Linked DNA regions of Nothobranchius furzeri. The main gene of each other region encodes a partner of the protein of the gene in region 7 in a complex. Links are inferred from orthologs where the notes say so. Each region holds a gene or a part of one and is shown on either strand. Other genes may lie near its edges. The genes, in order: ints9, ints2, ints12, ints11, ints7, ints6 and ints4.

Region 1 (3,087 bases), on a different chromosome or scaffold from region 7:
TTCTAACGCTGCTCCTGCATCATCAGGGTTCTAACGCTGCTCCTGCATCATCAGGGTTCTAACGCTGCTCCTGCATCATCAGGGTTCTAACGCTGCTCCTGCATCATCAGGGTTCTACTGATGCTCCTGCATCATCAGGGTTCTAACGCTGCTCCTGCATCATCAGGGTTCTACTGATGCTCCTGCATCATCAGGGTTCTAACGCTGCTCCTGCATCATCAGGGTTCTAACGCTGCTCCTGCATCATCAGGGTTCTAACGCTGCTCCTGCATCATCAGGGTTCTAACGCTGCTCCTGCATCATCAGGGTTCTAACGCTGCTCCTGCATCATCAGGGTTCTAACGCTGCTCCTGCATCATCAGGGTTCTAACGCTGCTCCTGCATCATCAGGGTTCTAACGCTGCTCCTGCATCATCAGGGTTCTAACGCTGCTCCTGCATCATCAGGGTTCTAACGCTGCTCCTGCATCATCAGGGTTCTAACGCTGCTCCTGCATCATCAGGGTTCTAACGCTGCTCCTGCATCATCAGGGTTCTAACGCTGCTCCTGCATCATCAGGGTTCTAACGCTGCTCCTGCATCATCAGGGTTCTAACGCTGCTCCTGCATCATCAGGGTTCTAACGCTGCTCCTGCATCATCAGGGTTCTAACGCTGCTCCTGCATCATCAGGGTTCTTCCTGGGCCGCTGAAGGAAGCTGTTGACGTGTGGACGTGGAAACGATGCTACAGCATGCATGAGGTCAACTCAGCTCTCAGCAAAGTGCAGCTTGTCGGTTATTCTCAGAAAGTGGTGAGTAGGGGTGTGTGTGTGTGTGTGTGTGTGTGTGTGTGTGTGTGTGTGTGTGTGTGTGTGTGTGTGTGTGTGTGTGTGTGTGTGTGTGTGTGTGTGTGTGTGTGTGTGTGTGTGTGTGTACTGGCACCATTTCTCTGGACATTGATACAGATTTGTATGTGAGGCTGTAGCCACACTGCTCATGTTTTTGCTCAGATAGAACCAACCGTCCTCATCATTGTGGGACCCACACAGCACCACTAGGGGGCAGCATCTGTTTTGAACAGCACAAAATACAAAGGAAGAACATTTTGAGCTTTCTAGTCATGCTTGTGTTTTGTCTGTACATGATTTAAATTGGTAGAGAATGGTTGTTTTAGAGTACAAACTAGTGTTGCAGGCAGCTCGGTCATCATTTCTGTTACAAAGTTCAGATCAAATTCCTGCTCCCCTAAAGCCGTGTGTGGACTAGAAACCAGTTTTTCCTCCTCAGGAGTTGTTTGGAGCTGTTCAGGTCTCCCCGTTGAGCTCTGGCTACTCGTTGGGAAGCTCCAACTGGATCATCCAGTCCCATCACGAGAAGGTGTCTTACGTGTCTGGGTCATCCCTCCTCACCACACACCCACAGGTAGCTCAGCTTGAATCAGATCATGGTACACGTGAGGCTTGATGAAACCTGAAATGCGTTTTCTCCTCTAGCCGATGGATCAGAGCTCGCTGAAGAACAGCGACGTTCTCATTTTGACTGGCCTCACACAGATGCCCACTGCTAACCCAGATGGCATGCTGGGAGAGTTCTGCAGCAACCTGGGTGTGTTCAGATGCTCAAAGTAAACCGTTCTTCCAGCTTTTAAATCCAAAGCATGAGTGTGTTTGTGTTTGTGTGGACCTGCAGCCATGACGATCCGGGCAGGAGGCAACGTGCTGGTACCGTGTTACTCCTCAGGGGTCATCTATGACCTGCTGGAGTGTCTGTACCAGTTCATCGAGAGCGCCAACCTGGGGACCACACCCTTCTACTTCATCTCTCCTGTAGCCAACAGCTCGCTGGAGTTCTCCCAGATCTTTGCTGAGTGGTGAGCAGCTGCTCCTCTTCCCCTCTGAACCGTAGCCCAACAGCCTTCACTGTTTCACACGTTTCAGGAGGATTTGAAATCCGATGAAGAAAGCCACAGCCTCTCTGTGACGCTCTGGTTACTTGTGCTTGATATTTCCAGGCTTTGTCATAATAAACAAACAAAGGTGTATCTGCCAGAGCCGCCGTTTCCACATGCAGAGGTGAGAGCTGCTGCTGCGGGATTCAAACTCTCAGTGAAGAACAAACGTTTCTAAATGAAGTCCAGCCTTCTTTGAACAAATGCACGTTTCCTGTTAATCCATAGGGCTCTCTGGGTTTGTGCTTATTTTCTCTCAGCTACCTTCACTTTTAGATCAGAATCAGAATTATCCGTCTTTATTATTGAATAGCTGTGGCAGCCATCTTGTTTCATCTCCTCAAACTTAGTAAAAAAAAAACAACCTTGGTTGTGTTTTGTGAACCTGCTCCACCTTTTGATGACCGCTGGTGTAAATTAGCTGTTGATGTTTCAGCTGATCCAGACCAACAAGCTGAAGCACTACCCCAGCATCCACGGGGACTTCAGCAGCGAGTTCCGGCAGCCGTGCGTGGTCTTCACCGGCCACCCGTCTCTGCGCTTCGGGGATGTGGTTCACTTCATGGAGCTGTGGGGCAAGTCCAGCCTGAATACAGTCATCTTTACTGGTAACCATCACACAGACGCTTCTGTGTGGTTCTGGAACAAGAACACAAACACAACCCTGTAACGTCTTCTTCTTGTCATCAGAGCCAGACTTCTCCTACCTGGATGCTCTGGCCCCTTATCAGCCGTTAGCCATGAAGTGTGTTTACTGTCCGATTGACACGCGGCTCAACTTCCACCAGGTGTCCAAACTGCTGAAGGAGGTCCAGGTAGGCTGCCTGCGTTTGTCCTGACACACCAGGGACATGTACACTCGTCTAAACAAGGGCAGACCGTTCTCGACACCATCCATCAGCTGGAGATCAAAGACTCCACCTGCCTGGTGATTTATGCCACTGAGCAAGGCAGCCAGCCATATCGCCATAAATCCGTCCTTTTTCTTCAGCTGTTTCTCAGAATACATATAGAATCGAGTAATCTGATTACTGGACCAGTAGTCAGAGGGTTGTAGGATTGATCCTGGTTCCCAGCAGAGAACTCTGCTGTTGTGTCCTTGGGCAAGACACTTAACTCTCCCTGCCTGCCGGTGGTGGTCAGAGGATGCCGGCGTATTG
Region 2 (4,193 bases), on a different chromosome or scaffold from region 7:
TATAGACTATATATGTCTCGTATTTACATTGTTTTAATGTATATCCAAAAAATTAATTTATTCTGAAGGTACGTTGTTTTATTTTTTTATTTTTTTTTATCCTTCTGAAGGTGTGGCGGCTTTTATTTTGCCGTGGAGCAAAATACACATAGTGGAAACCCTGAATCGGCCATGAAATCAGCAGCACTTATCGGCTATCGGCTGACCACAACCGCCTCGTGTCGGTACCGGCAATAAAAAAAAACAATATCGGTCGACCTCTAGTCTGTATAGTGAAAGATAAAGATAGAAGTAAAAGATAGGGATTGTTGGTCCATAGCGCCCAGCTCTACCTGGATCACACACACACACACACACACACACACACACACACATACACACACACACACTTCTAGGGGAAACCCTGAAGGTTTTTACATATTTTCCTTAAACAATAGACCCCCGGGGGGGTTAGGGCTAGAGCTTATGTGACATGCTGCGGCGTGTGTAAGCACCTTGTTCATGATGACCAGCAGTTCGCTGAGGGTCAGGCGTAGCCTACGGAGGGGGTCGCTGTGTTCAAACTCCAAGGTGAGGCCATGTTGAAGCTGTGACACCAGGAAGCTCTCTCCATTGGAGCCGCCTCCCTTGTTTCTGGTGGGGCAGACACAATACTGTAACCACCAAGCACAATTATACATTGATGCTGTCCAATGTTTAACCAGATCATTGGTGCTACCTGAATTGCTGCTCCTTGCGTGCGTCCTGCTCCAGTGCGTGGAAGTCCACAGACAGAAGTGCTACGATGGAGTTGACAGCTTCCACTCCAGAAAGCAGCCGGAGAATGAGCTTCTTGTCTTGAGCCCAGGTGTGGCTCTGATCTGCAGGAGCACATAAGGCCATTCTCACCAGGCAGGGGAGTAGGAGCCGGAGCTCTGGATCACTGAGGGCCGCCAGGCGAACAACATCCACCTTCTGCATGGCTTCAAATGCAAAAGAACTGACAAACTGCAGCCCTGCGCTGTCTGCCATCTCTCTGCCTTTACCCTGTTTCACACACACACATTAAACCAAGTGAGCTCAGACTGTAGCTGAAACACTGACACACTAAGCTTTTTTTAAACTACTTTAGAGAGACTAGGACATCATTTTCTCATGAAAAACATCCCCGAAGCAGTTTTTGGGTTCACACGTGAACTTTCTCATCTCAGCTGCAGCTTCCTCTCACCAGAGCTTTTAAAACCAGCTGGATGGGGGAGGTTTCCGTCATTATGCCCCACTCCTCCACATCCAGGTAGTGTTGACTCTGGATTGCACCTCTCCTGGACTGTAAGCACAAACTCTGTGTGTAACTAGCAGAGAGTTTAATCTCCACAGTTTTGAAGAAGTTATTTATTTCTTATCTAGTCTTCCCTTTAAATGCTACCTATAACCCAGAAATAAAGATGTAGGGTTAGAAATGGTTGGATATATCTTCAGGACCTCTCAAAAACAAAGCATGTGTTTGTGACCATGATTTCTTAAACAACCACCAGTACCGGCGAGGCTTTTCAGACGATCACTTCTTTAAACCAGCACCGTTCTAAAGTTCTAACTAGCCGATGGAGAGGTTAGACCAGTGAGTAAAACCAGAGTGAGTTACTCTGTAGCTGTAGGCGGGCGGGCGAGTGTCAGGGACAGACCGGGACAATATTTCATCCCAGCTGCTTTTTCTCCGTCTGAATAGCATTTGTTTTTGCGTGTGTTGACGAGGATTTGCACTTAGCAAATGGGGAGTGGGTCATTTCAGTGTTCCCCCAACAAAGGTTCAACGCAGAGCCACGGCTATGATATCCACCCCCCACGAGTTAGCATCTCGTGACTCACTTTTCATAGTTTTTTTCTTAGTTAATACACAGCGTAGCAAAGTTATTACCTTCATCTGTTGACAGTTTCGGTGTCACACAGCTGCCATCTTAAGCGCCTCGCCCTGGGCGAAACTGTCAGCAGATGAAGGTATAAAATGTTGCTACTCTGTGTTTTAAACAAGAAAAAACTGGAAATCGAAAATAAACATAAAGGTGTATCTGAGGCTTTTCTCAGATCTAGGAAAACTGCTCTACATCACCACTGTCTATAGAGAACTGTGGCTAACATCTGGCTTTCCACATGTTCACACACACTTCTCCATGTGGGCGGGTCAAAGATGTGCAGAGAGGTCTTTACTGTCCTTTAGTTGGTAAACCAAGGCGACCATGATCAAGGTTGCTTTTGGAGACTTCTGATATGAAGCACGCTGCTTCCTACCCTCTCAGTGAGACTCTATAAAGAGCCATTTCGTTCCTGACTGATCCATCACTAGTGCTGAGTGTTGGTGGAAGACTACATCCTTGTGCAGGAAACTCGATTTTCTTCAGAAGGACAAGTGCATCTTGTTATTTTCTGTTGAGAGACTTCATTCATGTTTAACATTTTGGGAGTAAATGGAGTTTTCAAAGATGGGTCACAGTTTAAACACTAGTTCCCCGGACGTGCCATGGTCTGTTTAGCTAACTAGCTGTTAGCTATCTAGTACTTTTGATGCGAGTCTTAACATGCTAACAGGATGCTAATGCTAGCTGATGGAGATTATTACTCTTATCTGATACACTACGGGCTGCCTCCACTGACAAATGTTTCTAGTTAAAGTAATGTTTGAATTTAATATTACCTAACCCCGATAAACCGATTCGGTGCCTAACAGAGGAACGTGACCATCGAGGCCTTACCTCTGATTTGACCAGCCTGACCAGGTGTTCGAGATGAGCAGTATCATTTGGAATCGTAGGATGTCTAAGGAACATCCCGCCCTTCTCGCCTCTGATTGGCTGGAAGGGCTCTATTATGATTGGCTTTTTCAATTAGCATCAAACAAGGTCCCGCCTTTCTCGCCTCTGATTGGTTGGAAGGGGCTCCCCTACGATTGGTTATTTCATTTAAGAGGACGCTGTATTCCCTCGCTGCAGGTTTTTATGTTTACAGCCAGATCTTGAGGAGTTTTGAAGAAAATGTGAACTCATCGCTATAATAAACATCCTTTCCTATTTAGCAACAAACCAGTTTCAGTTTCTTTCATAAAAGAACCTGAAAGACATCAAATGTGAACTTGTAATAAATCTTGTTGCATTTTATCACAATGTAGACTGACGTTTTATCTCTTGGCTCGTTTGGGGTTATCTTATTACTTAATTATTAGGCTGTCCTAGGTTAAGGCTGTTAACACGTTAGATCATATCTCTCATCTTCAGATTAAATGTGTATCGTTTTATCAAAAATTAAGTTAAAGCTGATTATGATTTAGACCAATTTTTCACCATTTTCCATTATTCTATAAAAGAAACAGACCTGATGCACGCAGCTGGGCAGAATATGGCAGTTTTGTTAAATTTCATACCCAGGTAAGGCACATATGTTTATCCTATGTACTCTAATGCTTCAGAGCCAAGAGATATAAAGTCCAACAGTTTGATTTATTCAACAAGATTATAAATTCACATTTTACGTTTTTCAGTTTTTTATGAAACAAAACAGGACAGAATGGTTATTATTATGGTGTATTCAATGGACTGAGTTTGTTATCTTGCCTTAGCTGATGTTCTTTGGTGGCAGGGGTTGATGACGTCAAGACTGGGAGACAGGGTGTTTTGTTCAATAAAGTTTGAGCTTGTAGTAAAGGCACTAGTGATGTGTCGGTCGCGAACGAACCGGCTCTAAGAGCCGGCTCTTTGAAGTGAACGACGGGAGCCGGCTCGTCATTGGGAGCCGTCCCCCCCCCCCCCCCCTCCCCTTTTGCTTTGGTGAAAGCCACAGGTGATTGGTCAAGATGTGTAACTGCGTGTCCAGACTGTCCACACACAGAGCAGTAGGGGTGGGGAAGAGGGAGGATAAGACTCAGACACACAGCAGAGCACATGCGGGCGGAGGGAGACGAGAGGGAATGAGGAGGAGGAAAATGGCGAGAGAGAGAGAGAGAGAGAGGAGAGTGTGACGAAGACGGTGAGAAAATGAGCGCCAGCAGTCGGAAAGTGGAGATTTCTGAAAGTGTTCAGTTATTAAATCCATAGAAATGATAAATATTTGATATATAGAATTTTTTAAATTTAGTAAATCATTTTACACATAGTTTTGCATTATTTTGGTTATAAATGTACTCTACGCAACTGAAAATCTGAGGAGCCACTTGGGAGCCGAAAGAG
Region 3 (4,032 bases), on a different chromosome or scaffold from region 7:
ACTAATAAGATTGAATATATTTGACACTAAAACTGCCATATTGTCTGAATCCAAACGCAGAAACAAATCTTCTAAACAATTAAGGAAAGAAAAGGAACTGTTCCTGTTGCTTTTCTTACCTCTAAACCCCTTACTGGTTAGTAGAAACAAGACTGAGGATGTCATTTTTAATTAAAATACTCACACACACCTTCACCTCTGTCCTCTTGAAGGCCTGGAAGGTGCTGGTTGTATCGGTTTTAGCCTTCAGCTCTGTCTTTTTCACCAGCGGGTCTTTAACAACCGGTGCTGAAGATGCAGATGCAGGGGATGGTTTCTGAGGAGGCTTCTGAGCCTGGTCAACAAACAAACAAACAAACAAGTTAGTTCATCATTAAAAAGGTGATGCAGGATCGTGACTTGATTTTCCTCACCATCCGTTTCATTTGCCTGGTGCAACGGGCACAATACCACACAAGCCGTGGGTCATTCACTTCCTTATCAGTCACTTGAGGTTTGTGGCAGTCCTGGTGGTAGAGATTATGACACTCTTGGCACTCCACCAACTGGTTTCCCATGGTCACCGTCATTTGTCTGAGAGAATTAATTATTTAAAAAAAAAAGACTGAATTTCTGCTTAAAATGGTGATCTGATTAATTTGAGGGAATAACATGCTGACAAATCTACACGATTGGCTACTCGTACCTGCAAACCACGCAGGCCAGACCCATTTCCATGGCAAAGTCGTCAGCGTTTGTCTCGTCGTAGTCGTTTATGTTTGGTAGGAGGTCTTTGCTCGTCTGAAATGTGATTGGAGAGGAGCGGTTCTCTTGTTTCTCTAAACGAGGCTTTTTGGGGGGGTCCACTTCGCTCACGTCAACCCTGGCCTGTTTTTCAGCAAAATACAAAAGGAAGTTTGACTAAATCACACAAACAAAAAACACCTGATCACATATTTAAATCGGATTCTGCTTTAAAGCTTTAGAGTTATATAATATGCACTTTTCATTCATTTGTGCACTTTTACTTCCCAATTGAACAGCAACACGACACAGATTACTGGGATCATTAGTAAAAATTGGAAAAATGTCTTCCACACCTTCTCTGATGACCTCTTCTCGCCTTCTTTCTTGCCTTTCTCTGAGCTGGATTTACTACTTCCACCGCTGCTGCCAGAAGAAGAACTTGAAGACTTGGGCTCTTTACTTAAACTCAGCTTTGACACGGATGCCTTTGACACTTCCACCTCCTGAGGACAAAACAATCACACAGAAGGCACAAGCACTTGGTTTTAAAACAATGTCATACGAATGACATTAAAGAGCAAGTCAGCCCCCCCCCCCCCCCCCCCCCCCCCAAATTTCTTTCTTGCTGATAAACTATATAAATGAGTGTCTAATCATGCTGTAGACACTTGTAGTCAATAACTTGGCACTTTGGTGCATCTTAGATAAATTTAAATAATCTGCCTAAAACTGTCAGTGTTACGTCGTCTTCAGGTAAAAACTCTGCCATTGCTATTGTCTAAGAAGTACATTATGATGTCACAAAGTCATTGTGAGCCTGTGTGTGTATTTGTTAGTGGCTCCACCCCCTCGGTCTGCCAGGTAACAGCATTTGTTGCATTTTTCAAACAGGAAGTGGGAGTGGAGTAAGACTCTGGTAGGGGGTGACTTGCTCTTTAAGGGGATTTCTCTACACTCACCTAAAGGATTATTAAGAACACCACACTAATACGGTGTTTGACCCCCTTTCGCCTTCAGAACTGTCTTAATTGTACGTGGCATTGATTCAACAAGGTGCTGAAAGCATTCTTTAGAAATCTTGGCCCATATTGGTAGGATAGCATCTTGCAGTTGATGGAAGATTTGTGGGATGCACATCCAGGGCACGGAGCTCCCGTTCCACAGATGCTCTATCGGGTTGAGATCTGGTGACTGTGGGGGCCGTTGTAGTACAGTGAACTCATTGTCATGTTCAAGAAACCAGTTTGAAATGACTGGAGCTTTATGACACGGTGCATTATCCTGCTGGAATTAGCCACCAGAGGATGGGTACAAGGTGGTCATGAAGGGATGGACATGGTCAGAAACAATGCTCAGGTAGCCCGTGGCATTTGGGGTTCAGGAGATTGCCTTGACCAGGACCACACCCCAAAATGCACTGAAGCAACCGCCATGTGATTGATTGATTAGATAATTGCATTAAGGAGAAGTTGAACAGGTGTTCCTAATAATCCTTTAGGTGAGTGTATATGAGAATGAATTATCTTACTTTTTGTGAAGAGCGATAAGAGGAATCGCTGCCTCTAGCAAGGGACTCATCAAGTAGAGCTTTGAGCTTCTCAGCTGAATCTTTGCTCTTGGAATGTAGATAACTCAGTCCTTTTAGGAAGATGGGATCCAGCTCCAAACTGACAGGTCCAGCCATCGCTTCCACTAGAAATCAAACAATAACAATTCACGTAATGCTGTGAATTAGTATCATTTCATCAAAGTAAAAAGAACTGCCGGCGCCTATAAGCCGAGTCCCACCGATCCAACTGCTGTGAATGACTTTAAACATTGGCAAATATTTGGTTTCTGAGTAAAAACAGGAAGACGGACTACAACCACAGAAGCACCGCGGTAGTTACCGAGGTCGCTTTATAATTCTAAAATTGAAGCTCATAATTATCATAAACACAGGCTTACCCGAGACTGGGTGTATTTTCTGTTTTACCGGAATATTTTCTTTCTATTGAACAACGGAAAACTGAGCAACACTTCCGTCGGCGTTTCGTCTTCACATTTGAGTAACCGACAAATATGTCCGGAGTCTGCAAGGGCGGAACGTTTTGCGAAATTTGTATTCGCGTTCGCGTGGTTATTATACTATTTTGGTTATAATAAAATAAGTATTCATCCCACGTATGTTTTCCTTTGCGGTACATATTTTGTACATAGGTGTTACTCTTTCATGAAGAGAGTTTTGAAACGTTTGAGAAGACCGCTGGCGGCGCTGTGGAGCTATGCTAGTGAAAAAACAGCAGAAGAAGAATCACCAAAACACACCGGTCCGCCTGTTTCAGGTAAGTCATTTTTCTTGGGTCATATGTTGAATTTAAGTAATCTAGACGTAAAAGTACCAACAGAGAACACTAAAACAATGATAAAACTAACTGATTGTTTTACTGTCCTTCTAGTTTATTTACAATGAAGCACAACGAGAAAAAAGAGCAACATCTCTCCCTCTTCTTAGAGGTTTGTTCCCAGAACGAGGAGCTGCGTCTCCCCCTGCACACGTCCATAGTTATGTTTCTCCTATCATACTGCGAGTGCAAGTCCTTCAAAGTGTTCATGGTTTACACCAGTAGCTGCTCGGACGCTTTCAGGAGCCAGCTCCCAGTGCCTGTTGGTGTCAGCTGGGTCCAGCTGGAGGATCTGCCCCAGCTGGTGAGGAGCTGCCGTCTCCCGGCAGCGGTGGATGAGAGCGGGCGCCTGTGCAGGGCAGGACTAGCCGTGGTGCTCAGGCACATTATCATCAAAACCACTGAGGAAGACCCTTCCAGGAAGGATGTTCTGGAGCTGCTGGGTTTCAAAAAAACCTGCTTGAAGGCCTGTGCGGAGGTCAGTGGGAGACAAGCGTCAGCTTTTGGGTGTCTGGGGAAATCAGGTGTAGAGATCCACTGATATGGGGTTTTCAGATGCTGATACTGATGCTGATATATGGGGGTCATGGTCAGCTGATGGCCGATATTTGCTACCGATGTTCGCGGCCGATAACTCGACATTTTCCACCTTATTTGCATGCTTAGATGTCACTGACAAAAACATGATGCACAACGTTTCTGAACATGGATCCGTTGTTGAACTCTGAATTTAAACAACTCTTGTATCTTAATTTTTTTTGCACCGCTCGTATTAAAATCAAACATTTAGCCAAAGGTAATCGAACAAATCATAAACTGACCAAGTCTTAAATAAAAACGGGTAAACAAAAAATACTTCAGTTAAGAAGAATGTTTTTAAACATTTATTAAGTAGATCAGGAACACACACGCACATTTAAAT
Region 4 (3,500 bases), on a different chromosome or scaffold from region 7:
GGACCGTGAATATAGTCGTGATTTGGCGCTTTATAAATAAACTAGAATTGAACATTAAAGTACATGAATGAATACAACTGTACACATGCAGTCGGAAATATGAACTACTAGAATAAAACAAAACTTTTGTATTTAAATTATTTTTAGATTAAAATTTTTTTTCTAACGTTCTTGGCATTTTTCCCCACACAAAGTTAAACAAAACAAGGTGTGTGTACGTGTGTGTGTGTGTGTGTGTGTCAGGGGCCCAACTGCCTACTTTCGGGGCGGTATGCAGACACATTCAGCTGCTGTTATTTATTTGTTGTTGGTGTTTATATAGAAACAAAATGCTTCTGCAAGGCTTTTAGGTCCAGGACAGTTTTACACCTCAGACCGACCCACTTTAGGTCATGACCTGTTATTAATATTAGTAAGTAAGTAAGTAAGTAAGTAAAAGTTTATTTATATAGCGCCTTTCACAGATATATCACACCGGTTTTAGCAAATCTTCATTGGCTCCCCATCCATCTCCGGATAGAGTTTAAGATCCTGGTTTTTGTGTTTAAATCCCTAAATAACTTAGCACCTGGCTACTTGTCTGAGCTCATTCACCCATATGTCCCTACAAGATCCCTCCGATCAGCTGACCAACACCTCCTACATGTCCCTAGCTCTCGCTGTAAGTCCCGCGGGGAGCGCGCCTTTTCAGTTTGTGCACCGAAGCTCTGGAACCACTTGCCCCTCCCGATCAGACTCTCTTCCTCTCTTTCCCTTTTTAAGTCTCGTTTAAAAACTCACTTTTATTCTCTGGCTTTTAATTCTGTCTAACTTATTCCCTTTCTACCTTTCCTTTTAGGGTTGGATTACTTGATTTTAATGGATTTAGTTTTTATTTTTGATTGTTTTTATTGTGTGTTTTGTTCAGCACTTTGGTCGGCTCTCATGCCGTGTTTAAATGTGCTATATAAATAAAATTGGTAATTGGTATATAAATCACAAAGCGCTGTACAACATGATAAAGATCAGGGCAAATACCTCTAACCAATAAAAACATCAGAAAAACAATAGCAGTGATAAACGTAGAAAATAAAATCATGAGTATAAACAAAGTGAAGGTGTGAACCCGAACAAAGCCGTCTTTAAGAACATTTAGGGAGGGAACGCCTGGATGAAAAGGTGAGTTTTTAGATGATTTTTAAAGACCTCTACAGTGTTAGAGAGGAAAAAAAATTCTGTAATGTTCAGAGGCATCCAAACCTTAGAAATGAAATAAAATCAATAAGAAAATAAAAAAGGATTAATATTATTTTTCATGAAAGATCAATTATCTGTGAACACCTTGTTATACTTGATATTGTCCAGCTTAAGCAGACACCTGCGTATTTCTAACAGAGCTGAGCAGCGGGAGAAAATATTCAGGCTTATTTCATCTTATTTTCTATCACCTGTGGGTTTAGAAAAAAACATCGACCGGACTGGGAATTTCCTCAGTCGAGTCCTGGTTCCCCGCCGTCCCCGTTAGACAGGATCATCACGTTAACTCACACCGGAGCTTGGCTCCATTGGCGCTTATTAGTGAGACTATATTGTACGAAAATGTCATTGATAAACACACAACTTAGATCTGTGGCTCGTATAAAACCATCCACTCCAATCATGCGCGACGGAGCGCTGTGTGTGTGTGTGTGTGTGTGTGTGTGTGTGTGTGTGACAGCAGCTGCGGGCCATCTGATGGTTTTGTTTGCAAAGAGGGGCAGGCGCTCAGTGTGACTGGCCAATCACAGAGCGTGAAGACAGTCAGTTACCCAATGAGGATTTTACTTCAGCATGGACACAGATATTCACGGGTTTTACTGGTACCCGTGAAAAAAGCTTTATCCGTACCGGACACTGAGACGAGTATCCGGCTCAACCCTAGTGATTAGATCCTGGTCTAACACAACTGAGTTCAAAACAGAAATCTTACTGTTGCTCTTCCTTCCATCTCCAGTTTCCTTTGTCCATTCAGGATCTTATGACCAATAGTTCCTTGTACACAATACCCAGGCATGATTACCTACAGAAAAAGACTATTTTATTCTAAAGTGTTGATTAAAAACACCAAAAGATGTTTGGAACCACGAGAGTCTCACCATGTTCTTCTCATTCCCAGCCCATTTCTTAAATATCTGCAGAGATTGACCAGCGTGCAACATACCCGGAGTGGCAAACACCACCTGGAAACAGACGGTACACACATCAGGGACTGTTTTAAATTCTAAAACAAACAAAGGTTAGAAGGAAATAGCAAACTCACCATTGGCCCTGGATTATCAGCATAAGAGCGATCGAAGGCCTTGATGTGCTTGAACTCAAACATGTTTCTCTGCACAAAGGTTTTCCGAATCTTCTGGTTTGTCCACGTTATGAAGAGCTTGTAGTAATGATTGGCTTTCTCCGTGAGCCCGGTGGAAAAGTAGATGGGGGCCTTTAGGTTCATTCTCTCCCTGCGCGGCGAGAGGACCCAATTAGCCCATCAACAAGCTATTATTTCAAGCCTAATTTAATAATTACGACTGTTACTGAAATAAAAATGTGACCTTCTGTGTTATAATTACGTGCATTGACTTTACACTGAAAGGTTTTAATTGATCTAATTCGATCCCCGGAAACCACGAGGCAGAAAATTAGCTTTTTATCTAACGTCATTTAGACTTGCGTCTGTGAATGAAATGTGCTACACAAATAAAGCTTCCCTGCCTTACCTGGACTTATCTCCTCACATCGCTGCATGCACTTTACTTCCTAGCCCCGACAAATGTAACATCTCAACAGTTTCACGGCAAATGCAGAGAATAAAATACAAGTTATGATGAAGCTTGTGTTAAAAAATACCAAAATGTTTCCAGCAGAATGCAGAGTTCTTGTGCTCGTCCCAAAGCAAAAACCGGAATGAGAACCTTGCAAAGGAAACAAAGAACTCAGAAAGTATCTTTACATTTACGCGTAAAATATTAAGTCTGTAAAAGTACCTTTCCTCCTCTTTCTATGGATTCATGCACTTTCTTCAGGAAGTCCCTTTCCCTGCACCTTTTGGAGTCACGGATGGTCGTGGCATACGTCGACTCCGATATCAGGATGTCTGGACGGCACTTATCGATCCAGGCAGCTCTACAAAACACAACAACTCAGATTGCAAAGGCAGTGTCTTTATGTGTGCTAAGGTTTAGGTCTGTCTACGTCTTCACTTGTCTGTAGTTTTTGGGTCATTTTCCAACTTCTTGGTCTTGAAAAATAAATGCAGCTCTCTCCTCAGAAATGTTTGATGTACTAAGCTGAGTTTTACTAATTCAAATTTCCTTTGAAAATTACAAAACCAAACTTTACGCCCAACTTTAAGCAGCTGAATGTTCTACAGAGGAAAGCTTTTTTATCATCACCGTATAGTATACCGTCTACAGGAGGAACTCGAACAATTGGAAAATGATGCTGGAGTTCATTTATGTAATTAATTCAACTGAAAAGGTGAAACTAATCTA
Region 5 (4,054 bases), on a different chromosome or scaffold from region 7:
GACCAGCACTTGTATAGCGCCTCTCAGAGTAAGGACTCCAAAGCGCTTTACACTACAGTGTATCATTCACCCATTCACACACACATTCACACACTGATGGTGATGAGATACGATGTAGCCACAGCTGGCCTGGGGTGCGCTGACAGAGGCGAGGCTGCCGAGCACAGGCGCCACCGGTCCCTCCGACCACCACCAGCAGGCAACGTGGGTTAAATGTCTTGCCTAAGGACACAACAGCAGAATTCTCTGACCGGAGCCGGGATCGAACCTGCAACCTTCCGATTACTGGACAACCCGCTACTCAACCTGTTGAGCTACTGCTGTCTATTTACTCATGTCTTACTTTGAGAGTGGCCTGGGCACTGGAGCTGCTGTCCTGACTGCACAGCATCAGGAGGGACTCCACTCCCAAAACCGTGTCCTGTTCCAGCTGAACGCTGTCTGAGGACAAGAAATCCACAAATAACAATAAAACAATTAAAAAAAACAAGAACAGACCGAGTCAAAGAGACGCTGAGATTAAACAACAGACAGGAAGTGATGTTAGAGAAATCCCTCAAGTAGGCCATTGTCCACAGGAACTAACCTTTCTCCGAACAGGAAATCGTGATGTTGCACAGCACAATGACCCCGTGAGCAGCCACTACCAGGTTGCTATGGTAACAACATTCTTGTGCCAGTTTAACCAGGTCAGTGAGCCGAGGGGGAACTGAAGCACCACCTGACAGGAAAGTTTTAACAACTTGATTCAAAGTGATTCTTCTGCTCCACGTGAAAAAAATAAATGAATACACCGATTTCACAACAGCAGAAACAAAAATAACACTCACCAGCTGCGTTACTGAAATACTGTTTGATTGCTATTGTTTCAGAGAGGGTGGAGAGGACAGCCAACATCCCCAGCTTCAGACTGTTGTACGGGATGGTCAGAGCGCACTCACACAGCACCTGCAGACACGACCTTTGTTAGACTCGGTGCAGATTTAACAGCTGCAAGAATATTTTACTGTCGGCATCTCTACCTGAGTATTTTCTCTGATCCATAGGTGAGGTGCCTTTTTAGCCAACAGCTTTAGGTCGTTAATTGCGAGTCTTTTTACAGCTTTTCTCGGATCATCTTTCAGATACTGAAGAAGGAGCTCCAACTGGGTGAACGGAGGTGGATCGGTAACTTTGATGTAATTCAGGATAAAAGCAGATATGCACAACCTGAATCAGGTACATGACACTACCTGCTTGGGGATATCGATGAGAGAGGAGGCAGCCAACTGGGTAAAGGTGTGCAGAGAAACGATGACCATGGGGGTGGAAGGGTAGGAGTTGACCAGCTGCTGCAGAAGCTCTCTGCTGCTGGATGCTAAACTGGCATCATGATGCATGTGCTGCAGCATAGGGATCAACTTCAGCTTCAGCTCAACCGGAGTGTCCAAACCTAGGAATGCAAATAATTAAAAAGACAACCATGACTGTGTGTGTGTGATGATCTTTTCACCTCAAGCAAACCTACCTTGAATCATCTCGCTGACTTTGTTGCAAATTCCAGCTGCAAAGTCTCTGCAACATTGGAAACAGTAAAATCAAACGTCTAATGTTTGCAAAACCACCAATTTTCTGGCATGAGGGCTTCATTCCAGCCACGGTTTCCCTTACTTTGACTGTGCAGAGAAACTCGCAGCAGCGAAAATAGCAGCCTCCACTTCCACATTGTCATGAGAGTCTAAGCTCTGTCGAATGCTGTGGTGGGCATTCTTCCTCTCTGGGATAATGGACGCTAAACTACCGAGCATTCTGAATAAAAAAAAAACAGAAAATAATTTCTTTTACATATTGGGTGTCAAAAAGAGGGCTGTAAATAAGTGTTCTGGAGCATATCCTCTTTACCTCAGAGTGATGGCTCTGGCCACAGGGTCATTACTGTGAATGACCGAAAACACCCTTTTAACAAATTCATCAACGTTGAGGATCTTCTCCAAGTGTTTTTCGCTCTGTTGTGTCACTTTCAGCACACACAGACGCAGAAAGTTGTTGCTGGGCAGAAAAACAGGCACCTTTAGATGAACACGTTTGGGACACTGCTAGACTGATTGTAGATAAATAAAATTAATATTTATAATCAGAAAATAAGTTAATTACATTTGAGTGATTTAAGTATTGAGGCCAAGGTGAACTGTTGCATTTCTGAGTACTGGCTGCTTTAATGTTCATGAACATTGACTTTGTAATATGGTTATGTTGCTTTAATAGGAGTAATGACAATCTATAAAATAAATTAGCATATAACCAACTATGGACTAATAATATTGATGCTTCCATACCCGAGCCTGAAGATATCAGCTAGTTTTAGAAAGGCTGAGTTGATTAGGATGGGAAAGGGGTACTTCTGGAAGAGTTTGGGGAACAACACCACCGCTTCACACTGCTCTCCTGGCTTCCCTGACCGCAGTCCTGAAATTATAAACAATGCTCTAGTCACAAAATAAGACGGACAAACCTCCAATAACTGATCGAATTTGAACAAAAAAAAAATCGAATAAACACATAAAACAGCACCACAGTACAATTAGCATTATGCTAACTGGTTAGCACCTTTGTCCAGCTCCATAAGAGCGGAATTAGCGTCTAGTTCTTGCTCCCCATAACAAGCCTCCGATAGAAATGATCGCGCTGTTGAAAGTGACATTTTTTAAAATTTCGGTTAATATTTGAGGTATAATAAATGACTATTCCTATTATCTTCTCAACGCTCAGGCGATGCTAAGTAGCATTGTTGTGTTACAGTAACACTATATCCGGTCTGGTGCTTTTCAAAGAAAATTTTCACATGACACAACTCACAAATGCTTGATTTATTTCAAAAGATAAAAATCTTGAATTAAATTAGGTTATCTATTTACCGTGGTGTAAATAAATAGATTGCATTAAAAAAGAGTTTCTGCAGTTATTTCAAATAGAGAGAATGTTTTCTCGACTGATACAGATCATTATTTGTGGTTTATTTAAAAATGCTATTATTTAACCATATGTGTTTCTATACTTTTTCATGGCTAGTAAAAAGCTCTGCTTGGTCGTCGATGACTCCATCTCAGTGATCTTCGTGTATTTTTTTATGCTGTCGTTCGCATGTTTGTTTTTGTTTACGTGCCTGCGTGGTTCTTTTATTTTGAAGGATTTTCCCCTGAAAGGAAGCAGAAGCGGAAACGATCCCGTTAAGGAAGTCGACCTTTGAACCGCGGCACCAACGTGCCAATAGAAGTTGAATAAAACGCTTCGCGCGTAATTTGGTTCTTCCCCTTAGTTGATCAATACGCGGGAAATATAATCAGCAGCTACAGACAAGAGGAGACCCCCAGTTCACGATCTGACCAACTTCTAAGTGTTTCTTTCAGATCGTCTCTGTACTGGATGATGGGAGTGCTTTTCCGTTCTGTTGTTGACAGAGAAGTGGGTCGACGGAGGCAAAATGGTGAGCCACGATGCGCTTAGGGGACTTTGAGATCTGTAACTGCTGGTAGCTTTTAGCTTGATAGGGAAAAAAAATCAACCTTTGTGTTTGGCATAGAAAAATCTATATAGCTGTTTAATCTTAGATGGCTGTCTCGTTCTGGTTCTTTATCTTTGAGAGAAGAAATGTTCAAAAAGCCAACTGAAATCAGCATATGACGTAAATGCTACGTCATCCTGCGGTTTCTTTAGTATTTTCAAACATTTTATGCCAGCACAATTTAATAATTATTCCCTAACTAAACTTTTATTTAGCTGAGCTTTAACATTATCTGTGATCACCATCAAAATAACCAGCAAAGAGTGAAATAGCTAAAAATCCTTTTTTTGTGTTTCTTTGTGTTCGTTCTCGGTGTTTTTTATGTTTATGCATTATACTATTATACAAGGCGACTTACAGAGGTGAAATAGCAAGGTGTGTGAAGTGTGCTGCCTAAAGGCAGTTTGGAGTGAGCAGGAATCAAACCGGTACCACTCCCATTGCAGATCTTTTTGATCACTGCATTTATATACGTTGGCTTTTCACATACCTTAAAAGGGCAGGTACAGCCTT
Region 6 (3,956 bases), on a different chromosome or scaffold from region 7:
CGCTTCCAAAGAAAAGCCCAGACTGAGTTCCAGCACCAGGCGTGAAACTTACCGCGTAAGCTAGCTATACCGTGGACAACGTGAAGGTTAACACAAATAAGGACTTCTTCTCTAAACAGATTTTTCTGTTCCTCCTTCCAGAGAAAACATAAAAGCAAATCCTCAGTTCCATCTTACTAAATGGTGGGAACTGTGATGAATGGAGACTTTGACACGTTTCAGATAAGCTTTAAAACAGCTGTCTACACTTCACCCCCACCCCCCCCACATGGCTTCACTTTGAGCAGCTACAGCCAAATCATAAACTAACTAAATCGATGATGTCATCGGGCACATTGCCTGAAACGCTGAATTGCCTGCAGGTGTCGTGGGCTTGGTGAGTTTAGAGTGAAACCAACATACTGGAAACTGGTTTTTGTCCGTTCTACTTGGAACGTTTTCACACATTCATAAACGAAAACTTGTTATTTCTCAATATTGTTTTATTTTCTCTTTAGAAAAATCTTAATTACCCTGATGTTTCAGTGAAACTTATCTTGGCTTGTGTTGCTGACTTTTAGGTGAAACTGTAGATTTTCCTAAATATAAAAACTAGAACAAGCTCTCATCTGTGTTAAAGCATTTAACACTCATTATGAAACTTGTTTTCTGCTATTTTAAATTGGATTCAGTCTAATAATTCTCCAAATTGATAGCAGTTCAGCATCCATGTGCCAGAAGATATTAACTTTTAGAACAACATGGAGTCTAAGTTTTCCGGTCGGCTCATGGGTTCCCGGAAGAACAAAACAAAAAAAGAACGCAAGTCCACGGGACTTAAAGAGCTATTTTCTAATCCGCTTTGCTTTACGCCCTGGATCGCACATATGTTGTATTTCAATGAAAAGTATTGATGTGTTTGGATCACGCCTGTCACGTGTTTTGAGATTTATCGTAAATACTAGGACTACAGATCAGACGTCAGTACACCGCATATCGTATATGATGTCATCACAGAATATCCTCTCCCCTAGCGTAGCTGCTACTTCTCACATGGCCAGATTTATAGTAGTTCTTTCCTCCTGAAAGAAGGATTTGACATTCGCAGAACGTACAGCCATTTTTTCTGTTCATGTCTGGTTCGATGTCAATTCGTAATGCGTACTTGTAGTCCTGAACGTTTCACACAAGACCTAAAATAACTTTCGCCCTCGTTTGAAAATAAGAGCTTTCTTGGCATCAAAATGTTAAATTTCACGGATGTCTTGTGAAAACCATACGGGATCAGAAAATAGCATTTTTAGCCTCATTGACTTGTACTCATTTTCTCGTTCTTCCGGGGCCCCGTGGTCCTGAAGTAGATGGGCTTATGCTAGATTTTGTTTCAGAAATATAATCTGGTGCATATGAGATTAGCCTCTTTGCAACCTGCATCTAAGTTTTATGACTAAAAAGACATTTTAAAATTATAGCATGAAACACTGGACTTATAATCGGTCCCTGCTTCTTTGGTAGTTATGTTTGTGTGTGACTGCAGGGGTGTGTTTGGGTAGTAGATGCTTGTAGGACTGGGGCAGGGGAGTGGGGTTGTTGTGGGTGCGTTTAGTACATTTCCAGGGGACTACATACCTGTCCATAGTTGTCTATGCCAGTCACTAATCTATTGAGATTGAGTAAATCAAAAGATGTCCTCAGGGACTGTCCAACAGTGGTGAGTCCAGTAGCTTGGAGGTTCCTCAGCTCTGTCATGAATGTGGCGTGGCTCTCCTTCCACCCAGCCTTTATGGACAAAACAAAGCACGTGATTCATAAAAGCTACTGTTCTGGTCACTAAACTACTTTAAATAACTTATTTCCAGCTTTAATGTGGAAGTATGATGATATTTAGCTGGGATGAAGATCAGCGCCGCAGCCTGGATCCTCTCTGCTGCTGGTGTGACACCAGCTCGGATCACACATGACGATGTGGCACGGTCGCAGCGTGTTCGGGACAAAAGCGGCAATTTTCTCTCTGCTAAAGTAGTCTAGTTGTCCGTCACCCCTCCTCCTCCACCTCCCTCCCTCTCTCATATCACCTCTCTGTATAAATAACACCCAGAGTTCCTTGCTGCTCGCACTGAAATAAAATGTCGGCCATGTTTTAAAAGGGGTATGAAAGCTCCTCCTGGAGATTTTCTCTACAACAATTGATCACAAGGCGGCGGGGAGATGGAGGACAGTCAATCTGCGCAATGTAAAGCTGGACATGACCCGAAAGCAGATTCTACCTTGATCCCGAACGGAGCATCTTCAAAATTTACCAGCATGTACCGGTCCCCTCGGCTCGCCGGATCTCTCCCTCTGAGCTGTGGAAAATAGAGAATGATTTACGGTTACTGGGAGATCTCGGCTTGACAAGGCGAACTTGCAACAGCACAACGATAATCCGAACTAGAATCCCGTTTGGGATCTCCCAACATGAATGTGTCCCGTGGTCACAGTACCTTCATAAAAGTCTCAACAGCGCCTTTTGCTATGTCCAGATAGGTAGTGCCCAGATGGGTGCGCTGGTTCATTGAAGCGGACGTGTCTATCAGAAAAAGTAAAACGGGCATTGTGATGGTAATGACACGTTCTGCATGGACTTGGTGTCAGTACAACCGGCCAAAACGCAAAAAAAATCTTTTGTTCTCCTGCCGCCTGTCTCACCCCTCAGCTAGCTAGCTAGCTGGCTAACTGTCTCACACATTCTTTCAAAAAAGTGTAAGAATAGTGAGTATAGAAGCCCATTCCGGGAAAACTAAGCTAAAAGCCTCGAAACCTTGGGGCAGGTTAATGATTTACGATGGATTTTGATAATTTTTACAATATATTGTAAATATTCCTAAGTTTCATAGTAACAAAGTTCCCCCTCATAGTGACTCCCTGCTTCTCCCTACACTGAATGCGTTGTGTCTTCTCCGTTGCTTTTAAATGAAGCCCCGCACCTGACCCCGCCTCCTAAGCGCTCTTTTTCTGTCACGTGCAATCAACCCAGCTTTTGATTGGTTGAAGGAAGCCACTTATTAACATATCCAAATAAGGCCAAAGCTAGTTCTCTAGTGCGCATGCTTGCTTAACCAAATGACAGGAATGCAGGGAAAAATATTATTCACATACATTTTGTGTTTAGTAACGCGACACATGTGGTAGGAAAAGCCTTTTTGGAACACCCCAGCTGTTTTTCTTTAGCACCAGTTATCAACAGCCTTGTGTTTTGCCCTGCGGAGTGATTGCATAATCAACATTTTCCTCATATATGCACGGGCGTGGGCCAGTGTGAATGGAAACCCATAAAGACAAAATAAAAAGTACAGGCTGAGATGGATGTTGTAAGATTATAACTTAAGGAAGGTAGCCATTTGTTTAGAGAAAAGGAAAACAACACACTGAAATCATGACACTGTGTGATGATCATATAAAAGATTTTAACTAACAAAACGACCAGAAGGGTTATTTTTACAGTTTTTGAACTAACATATAAAAATCAAGACACCAAATAAGTCATTGTGCGTGTACTTTTGAGCTGTTTAAGTTGATTATATGTATAAACAATTATCTGTAGACTACTAGATATATTAGTGTCACCATCCTGTTTATGGTTCACTTTTCATGCCACATGACACTGAGTGAGATAGTGCAGCTCGATCAAAAACATCAACACTTCCGCAAAAACAAGACGAAACCAACCAGTGGCTGTGATCGCAGAGGGAAGGATGGTCTATCTTATTTTTGTCGTCCTATCGCACTGCACATAGTTCATCCGGTTTGTTACTGACACGTTTTTCAAAATAAAAGTAATCCTGTGGTAGGACATCAAAAATTCTTTCTTCAGTCTGCATGGTAGCGATTTTGGTAGCACTGCTGCCTCACAGCATGAAGGTAGGTTCAAATCCTGGCGGTGGCCTTTCAGGTAATACTATTTCCTTCTGTAGGCCTAAAATATGCATGTTAGTTGA
Region 7 (3,957 bases):
CGAGCTAAGTTTTTATTTATCGCAAGTAATATCGTCATCGCAATATTAATCATTATGGAATATTGCAGGTTCTCCTAATATCGTGCAGCCCTACAACGGAGTAAGTGCTTCTTCACCTTTCTGGGTAGAGCTGGCTGAGAACCCACACCATCTGCACAGCTGCAGAGCGAACCTGCTCGTAGTCGTCCGACAGCAACCTGCAGGCCTGCAGGCACACAGGAAAACGCAGCGTTAGTACACTCTAAGGCCACTCCTCTGGAGAAGATTCAACAACAGCTGGACCTGATCGTAGATGATCTGGTGGATCTTCATCCCTCGGTCATGAAGCTGCAGCTGGAAGACAGAAATAAGACCTTGTGTAATCCGCTCAGCGAGGATCGGGACAAGGATTTGTGGTCCGCTGTGTCCTACCATGGCTTTGATGGCTGCAGTTCGGACTCGGGGGTCCTGGTCGGCAAAGTAGTTACTGATGATACTCTGAACATCCCTCGCTCCTCCTGAAGTCAAACGCTAAACTCACAACTTGACTTTTTAAAAGATAATCTTGGGAGACATTTCCAAACATTATTTAATTAAATGAAAGCTGCCGTTTGAATTAATTCTACATACATATATTTTGTAAAGGTGGTAGAACAAACACACTTGGTATTTCTAGAAACTATTTTAGGACAAACTGATGTTTCTCAAGTCTTTTAGAGACTTTCTGTGAGCGTCGAACTGATTTTGGTCCAGATCCCGACCATTCTCAGATGTCCTGATTCAAGATTTATCGCCTAAAATTAATCTTAAACTTCTGAAATCCTGTTCAGGAACCCTTTAAAAGATAAAGTCAGGTTCTCTGGAAACAAGTTTTTACACAAACGACGACTCGAACCTGAAGACGAGCTCGGTCCATTGCTGTCTTTAGTCAGAGGGGCGTCCACCAGGCCGAGACATCCCAGGAGCTGCAGACATTTGTTCCTCACCCCGAAATACGTGTCAGACAGGTGCTAGCAGGAGGGAAACAGACCGAATTTTACTGAGCAGCAAGGCAGCAGCCTTGTTATTCAACAGCTCTGTTCATTTCTGTTCTTTTATCTGGGGTCAGGTCACAGCAGCTCCAGCAGGGAGCCCATACTGTCTTCTCCACAGCAACCTCCACCAACGCCACCAGTGGGACCCCGAGGCATTTCCTAGTCAGCCTGGAGACAAAATCCCTCCATCAGGTCCCGGGTCGACCCCGGGGCCTCCTACTGGACGGACGTGCCTGGAGGCATTCTGACCTGATGCCTGAACCACACTGACAGTAGAAGCCCTACTGTGTACTTCATGTTACCTTGCAGGCCACCTCGATGAGCCTCAGTCTAACTGCTGGGCTCTCAGGAAGCTGTGACCCAATGACCAGCAGAGTGTCCAGCAGCTGAGCGAGGACCTGGTGGGACTCTGCACACGCACAAGAAGAAACACGAATGAACACGGTCAGCCTCTGTTACAAATAAGATACTAATTCTGAAAGGGATCAAAATAAAATGTAAACCAATCTGTGTGTAAACACGTCTTACTCTCGTTGCCGAGTGTGTTAATGGCATCATCAACGATGCAGTCGGGGCTGAAGCCATTTGTTTTGGATAGCAAACCCAGCAGAGAAGCGATCTTCAGCCTCACAGAGTTATCCGTCTCCTGAGAGGAGGACATCGTCATCATCTAGATGAGCTTAGTGTGTTCATCTCTGCTTCAGGTAAAGCAAATGTGCTGGATGCTAGGACTCTGAGCCGTACCTTGTAGTAGTGCTCCAGCAGGATGCGGATAACACCCTCCACGCTCTCCACCTCCACAGGTTTGCGGGCAAACTGCAGCAGGTACTGCAGGGCGTCGGTGGAGTTGGTGGCTTTACAGAGGTCAACATGCAGCGCTGCCGACTTGCTGGGTTTGGACAGACGCAGCTTCTTGGCTTGAGCTTCTTCATGAGGAATCTGCAAACGAACAAAACAGCCAGAGAAGCAAAGTAACATCAAAACAAAACAAAAAAACAGGAAATGACCTCTCTGTTCACTAAACGTTTTTTTCTGTGTTAAATTATTCAGCAGCAAATATGTTACTGATGTTTTTTAAATTTCTATTGATTATTTTGTATATGTATGGGGTTTAACATGATTATCCTAACTTATGAAATAATCGATTTACATATCAAAGTAAGAAGATCCTGAGAGTCGGGCTATTGGGACGAAAACAGCAAGAACCCACACATGACAGCTGATCTACTTCTGCACCCAACAGCACTTTCATTGGTTTTCAAAGTGAAGAGTTTGATTTACTGTAATTGACAAAGATCTCCAGGTATCGTTCAAAAGAATGCAATAGCACCTCTGTGCACAAATAAACATGTAAAAAAAACAAATTACAAACTAAAATCTGAGTCAGCAGGAGCTAGCATGACGGAAGCTAACAAGCTCGGTTTTAGATTTCAAACTCGCTGCAATCCAGAATATTGTTAAACGACATTTCGTAACAAAAACGAATGATAGATTTAAATGCTCAAATTAAGAACAAACCCTCCCAACGCGAACGTATGTTGTTGTGCTACGTTAGCTTAGCAGCTATTTAGCAAGTGTGTCCAAATTTCAGTTGAACGCTTGTTCTTCTTTTTAGCTGAACAAAACGTAAACAACATAAAGATAATTTATTTGTTCTCACCTGGACTACTTTAGAAAATTCCTCATAAACTCGCTTTTTCAAATGAGCTGCCATTTTAACGTAGTTACGCCAGCAAACATGCAAGTTTGTTCCTCGACGCTTCCCGTAACTACGGATAGTCTAATCAAACGCGTTTCGTAAATGCCTCTTCACACACACACACACACACACACACACACACACAGACACACACACACACACACACACACACGCACACGTACACACACGCACACACACACACACACACACACACACACACACGACAGTAAATTTGCATTTTGACTACAATTATAAATCTACTACGGGATTTAAAGTGATTTTGCTTTGTCTATTGATATAAAGATGATTATTTACGAATAACATTGCCAGTTTGCAACTACAATAAAATTTAAGAAATAACAATAGTTTTAATTTTGACTTTATTAAGTAAGATGGACTATAAATAAATTAGTTTGCATTAAACCAGATTAAAACTTTAGAATAGAAAAATAATAATGAGTAAATTATTATGAAAATGGCTGTGAAAGTTGTCTTTCCTTATTAATGAAATCTTACTTATTTAAATCTATTTAGATCTTATGCGTGGTAAACAAAGAACACTTTTTCAAAGTTCAGCAGGTTGAATGTTTTTAGATAAGATAATTCGATATGCAAACAAAACAACAAGATATTGGCTTTTTGAATGTTTACACTTATTTCCATACATCTCAGATATTTTAACTGACAACATTCCAAAATGTGTATAAATGTGTATAAAAATAACAAAGAAGCATATTTCTCAGATTTTTTTTTATTTTTCTTTATTTGCACAAACACCACAATATTCAATTCGATTCAAGTTTATTTATATAGTGCCAAATCACAACAAGAGTCGTCTCAAGGCACTTCACATAATAAACATTCCAATCCAGGTCAGGTCATTAAGCCAATCAGAAAATAATGTTTCCTATATAAGGAACCCAGCAAATTGCATCAAGTCACTGACTAGTGTCAGTGACTATACAGCAATCCTCATACTAAGAAAGCATGCAGCGACAGTGGAGAGGAAAACTCCCTTTTAACAGGAAGAAACCTCCAGAGAATCCTGGCTCAGTATAAGCAGCCATCCTCCACGACTCACTGGGGATCGAGAAGATAGAGCACACACGCACACACACACACACGCACGCTCGCACGCACACATCTAACGTCAAGGAAAGCAAAAAGGACAGTAGAGAAAATAAGAATTGTTTTCTGTAAATCGTCTTGTTAAATAAAAGTTTTATTTAAAAAAATTCAAGGTCA

The links.
Region 1: the proteins of ints4 (region 7) and ints9 are in contact, whole or in part, in a cryo-EM structure (PDB 8RC4), measured with the Homo sapiens proteins. The link is inferred for Nothobranchius furzeri from reciprocal best matches to the Homo sapiens genes INTS4 and INTS9. Residues at the interface, in NP_291025.3 of Homo sapiens: Leu53, Gln54, Leu57, Gln58, Arg61, Lys62, Pro86, Ser87, Leu90, Lys91, Ser94, Gln125, Gln129, Asp132, His164, Gln207, Asp208, Pro209, Arg210, Arg212, Asp244, Tyr245, Glu246, Gln247, Trp296, Phe837, Gly840, Leu841, Val842, Val843; in NP_060720.2 of Homo sapiens: Lys2, Tyr4, Lys18, Ser21, Thr22, Leu43, Val44, Gln45, Glu87, Glu89, Leu90, Asp92, Asp97, Thr122, Glu145, Arg146, Val147, Pro148, Lys159, Glu174, Ser176, Thr177, Ser192, Gln195, Phe206, Gly207, Ile379, His380, Ser384, Asn385.
Region 2: ints4 (region 7) and ints2 share a complex: the UniProt entries of both Homo sapiens proteins name them as parts of the integrator complex. The link is inferred for Nothobranchius furzeri from reciprocal best matches to the Homo sapiens genes INTS4 and INTS2.
Region 3: ints4 (region 7) and ints12 share a complex: the UniProt entries of both Homo sapiens proteins name them as parts of the integrator complex. The link is inferred for Nothobranchius furzeri from reciprocal best matches to the Homo sapiens genes INTS4 and INTS12.
Region 4: the proteins of ints4 (region 7) and ints11 are in contact, whole or in part, in a cryo-EM structure (PDB 7BFP), measured with the Homo sapiens proteins. The link is inferred for Nothobranchius furzeri from reciprocal best matches to the Homo sapiens genes INTS4 and INTS11. Residues at the interface, in NP_291025.3 of Homo sapiens: Leu159, Asp161, Thr162, Arg167, Tyr203, Gln207, Asp244, Ser292, Gly294, Trp296, Arg299, Lys323, Met326, Ser327, Asp328; in NP_060341.2 of Homo sapiens: Pro183, Trp191, Lys194, Asp212, Gln288, Gln400, Gln404, Lys462, Met465, Ala466, Leu469.
Region 5: the proteins of ints4 (region 7) and ints7 are in contact, whole or in part, in a cryo-EM structure (PDB 8RC4), measured with the Homo sapiens proteins. The link is inferred for Nothobranchius furzeri from reciprocal best matches to the Homo sapiens genes INTS4 and INTS7. Residues at the interface, in NP_291025.3 of Homo sapiens: Glu536, Met539, Asp540, Arg571, His572, Ala574, Tyr575, Asp578, Ser579, Ser610, Phe613, Arg620, Leu624, Leu627, Gly631, Glu634, Leu635, Phe638, Arg641, Asp642, Arg645, Leu646, Glu648, Leu649, Gln650, Lys677, Leu678, Trp679, Asn680, Val681; in NP_056249.1 of Homo sapiens: Lys137, Asn138, His140, His141, Arg144, Gln145, Gly175, His205, His206, Asp207, Ala208, Ser244, Ser245, Leu246, Val247, Lys282, Thr283, Pro284, His285, Thr286, Thr321, Ile322, Lys325, His326, Gly686, Tyr689, Glu704, Gln707, Gln708, Leu711.
Region 6: ints4 (region 7) and ints6 share a complex: the UniProt entries of both Homo sapiens proteins name them as parts of the integrator complex. The link is inferred for Nothobranchius furzeri from reciprocal best matches to the Homo sapiens genes INTS4 and INTS6.

The regions. Positions count from the first base shown.
Region 1 is NC_091742.1:17,904,515-17,907,601, forward strand, and holds part of ints9 (integrator complex subunit 9), read left to right. Parts: intron 1-670; coding exon 671-791; intron 792-1,266; coding exon 1,267-1,401; intron 1,402-1,472; coding exon 1,473-1,584; intron 1,585-1,668; coding exon 1,669-1,849; intron 1,850-1,990; coding exon 1,991-2,051; intron 2,052-2,363; coding exon 2,364-2,535; intron 2,536-2,617; coding exon 2,618-2,742; intron 2,743-3,087. UniProt on the Homo sapiens protein: Component of the integrator complex, a multiprotein complex that terminates RNA polymerase II (Pol II) transcription in the promoter-proximal region of genes.
Region 2 is NC_091750.1:42,407,117-42,411,309, forward strand, and holds the start of ints2 (integrator complex subunit 2), read right to left. Parts: upstream 2,801-4,193; 5' UTR 2,727-2,800; intron 1,027-2,726; 5' UTR 1,012-1,026; coding exon 719-1,011; intron 634-718; coding exon 495-633; intron 1-494. UniProt on the Homo sapiens protein: Component of the integrator complex, a multiprotein complex that terminates RNA polymerase II (Pol II) transcription in the promoter-proximal region of genes.
Region 3 is NC_091746.1:80,674,993-80,679,024, reverse strand, and holds the start of ints12 (integrator complex subunit 12), read right to left. Parts: upstream 2,801-4,032; 5' UTR 2,674-2,800; intron 2,419-2,673; 5' UTR 2,411-2,418; coding exon 2,255-2,410; intron 1,230-2,254; coding exon 1,080-1,229; intron 868-1,079; coding exon 686-867; intron 574-685; coding exon 414-573; intron 335-413; coding exon 185-334; intron 1-184. Other genes in the region: gstcd (glutathione S-transferase C-terminal domain-containing protein), read left to right, coding at 3,175-3,588. UniProt on the Homo sapiens protein: Component of the integrator complex, a multiprotein complex that terminates RNA polymerase II (Pol II) transcription in the promoter-proximal region of genes.
Region 4 is NC_091755.1:39,105,287-39,108,786, reverse strand, and holds part of ints11 (integrator complex subunit 11), read right to left. Parts: intron 3,133-3,500; coding exon 2,994-3,132; intron 2,922-2,993; coding exon 2,857-2,921; intron 2,469-2,856; coding exon 2,279-2,468; intron 2,199-2,278; coding exon 2,115-2,198; intron 2,039-2,114; coding exon 1,949-2,038; intron 1-1,948.
Region 5 is NC_091742.1:7,888,369-7,892,422, forward strand, and holds the start of ints7 (integrator complex subunit 7), read right to left. Parts: upstream 2,801-4,054; 5' UTR 2,681-2,800; coding exon 2,587-2,680; intron 2,446-2,586; coding exon 2,316-2,445; intron 2,029-2,315; coding exon 1,882-2,028; intron 1,789-1,881; coding exon 1,651-1,788; intron 1,555-1,650; coding exon 1,508-1,554; intron 1,433-1,507; coding exon 1,233-1,432; intron 1,146-1,232; coding exon 1,023-1,145; intron 949-1,022; coding exon 831-948; intron 722-830; coding exon 587-721; intron 442-586; coding exon 344-441; intron 1-343. Other genes in the region: dtl (denticleless protein homolog), read left to right, coding at 3,403-3,463. UniProt on the Homo sapiens protein: Component of the integrator complex, a multiprotein complex that terminates RNA polymerase II (Pol II) transcription in the promoter-proximal region of genes.
Region 6 is NC_091754.1:31,095,990-31,099,945, reverse strand, and holds the start of ints6 (integrator complex subunit 6), read right to left. Parts: upstream 2,801-3,956; 5' UTR 2,574-2,800; coding exon 2,463-2,573; intron 2,325-2,462; coding exon 2,247-2,324; intron 1,759-2,246; coding exon 1,609-1,758; intron 1-1,608. UniProt on the Homo sapiens protein: Component of the integrator complex, a multiprotein complex that terminates RNA polymerase II (Pol II) transcription in the promoter-proximal region of genes.
Region 7 is NC_091753.1:58,549,107-58,553,063, reverse strand, and holds the start of ints4 (integrator complex subunit 4), read right to left. Parts: upstream 2,801-3,957; 5' UTR 2,728-2,800; coding exon 2,674-2,727; intron 1,953-2,673; coding exon 1,758-1,952; intron 1,660-1,757; coding exon 1,542-1,659; intron 1,423-1,541; coding exon 1,316-1,422; intron 990-1,315; coding exon 875-989; intron 498-874; coding exon 412-497; intron 334-411; coding exon 283-333; intron 206-282; coding exon 117-205; intron 1-116. UniProt on the Homo sapiens protein: Component of the integrator complex, a multiprotein complex that terminates RNA polymerase II (Pol II) transcription in the promoter-proximal region of genes.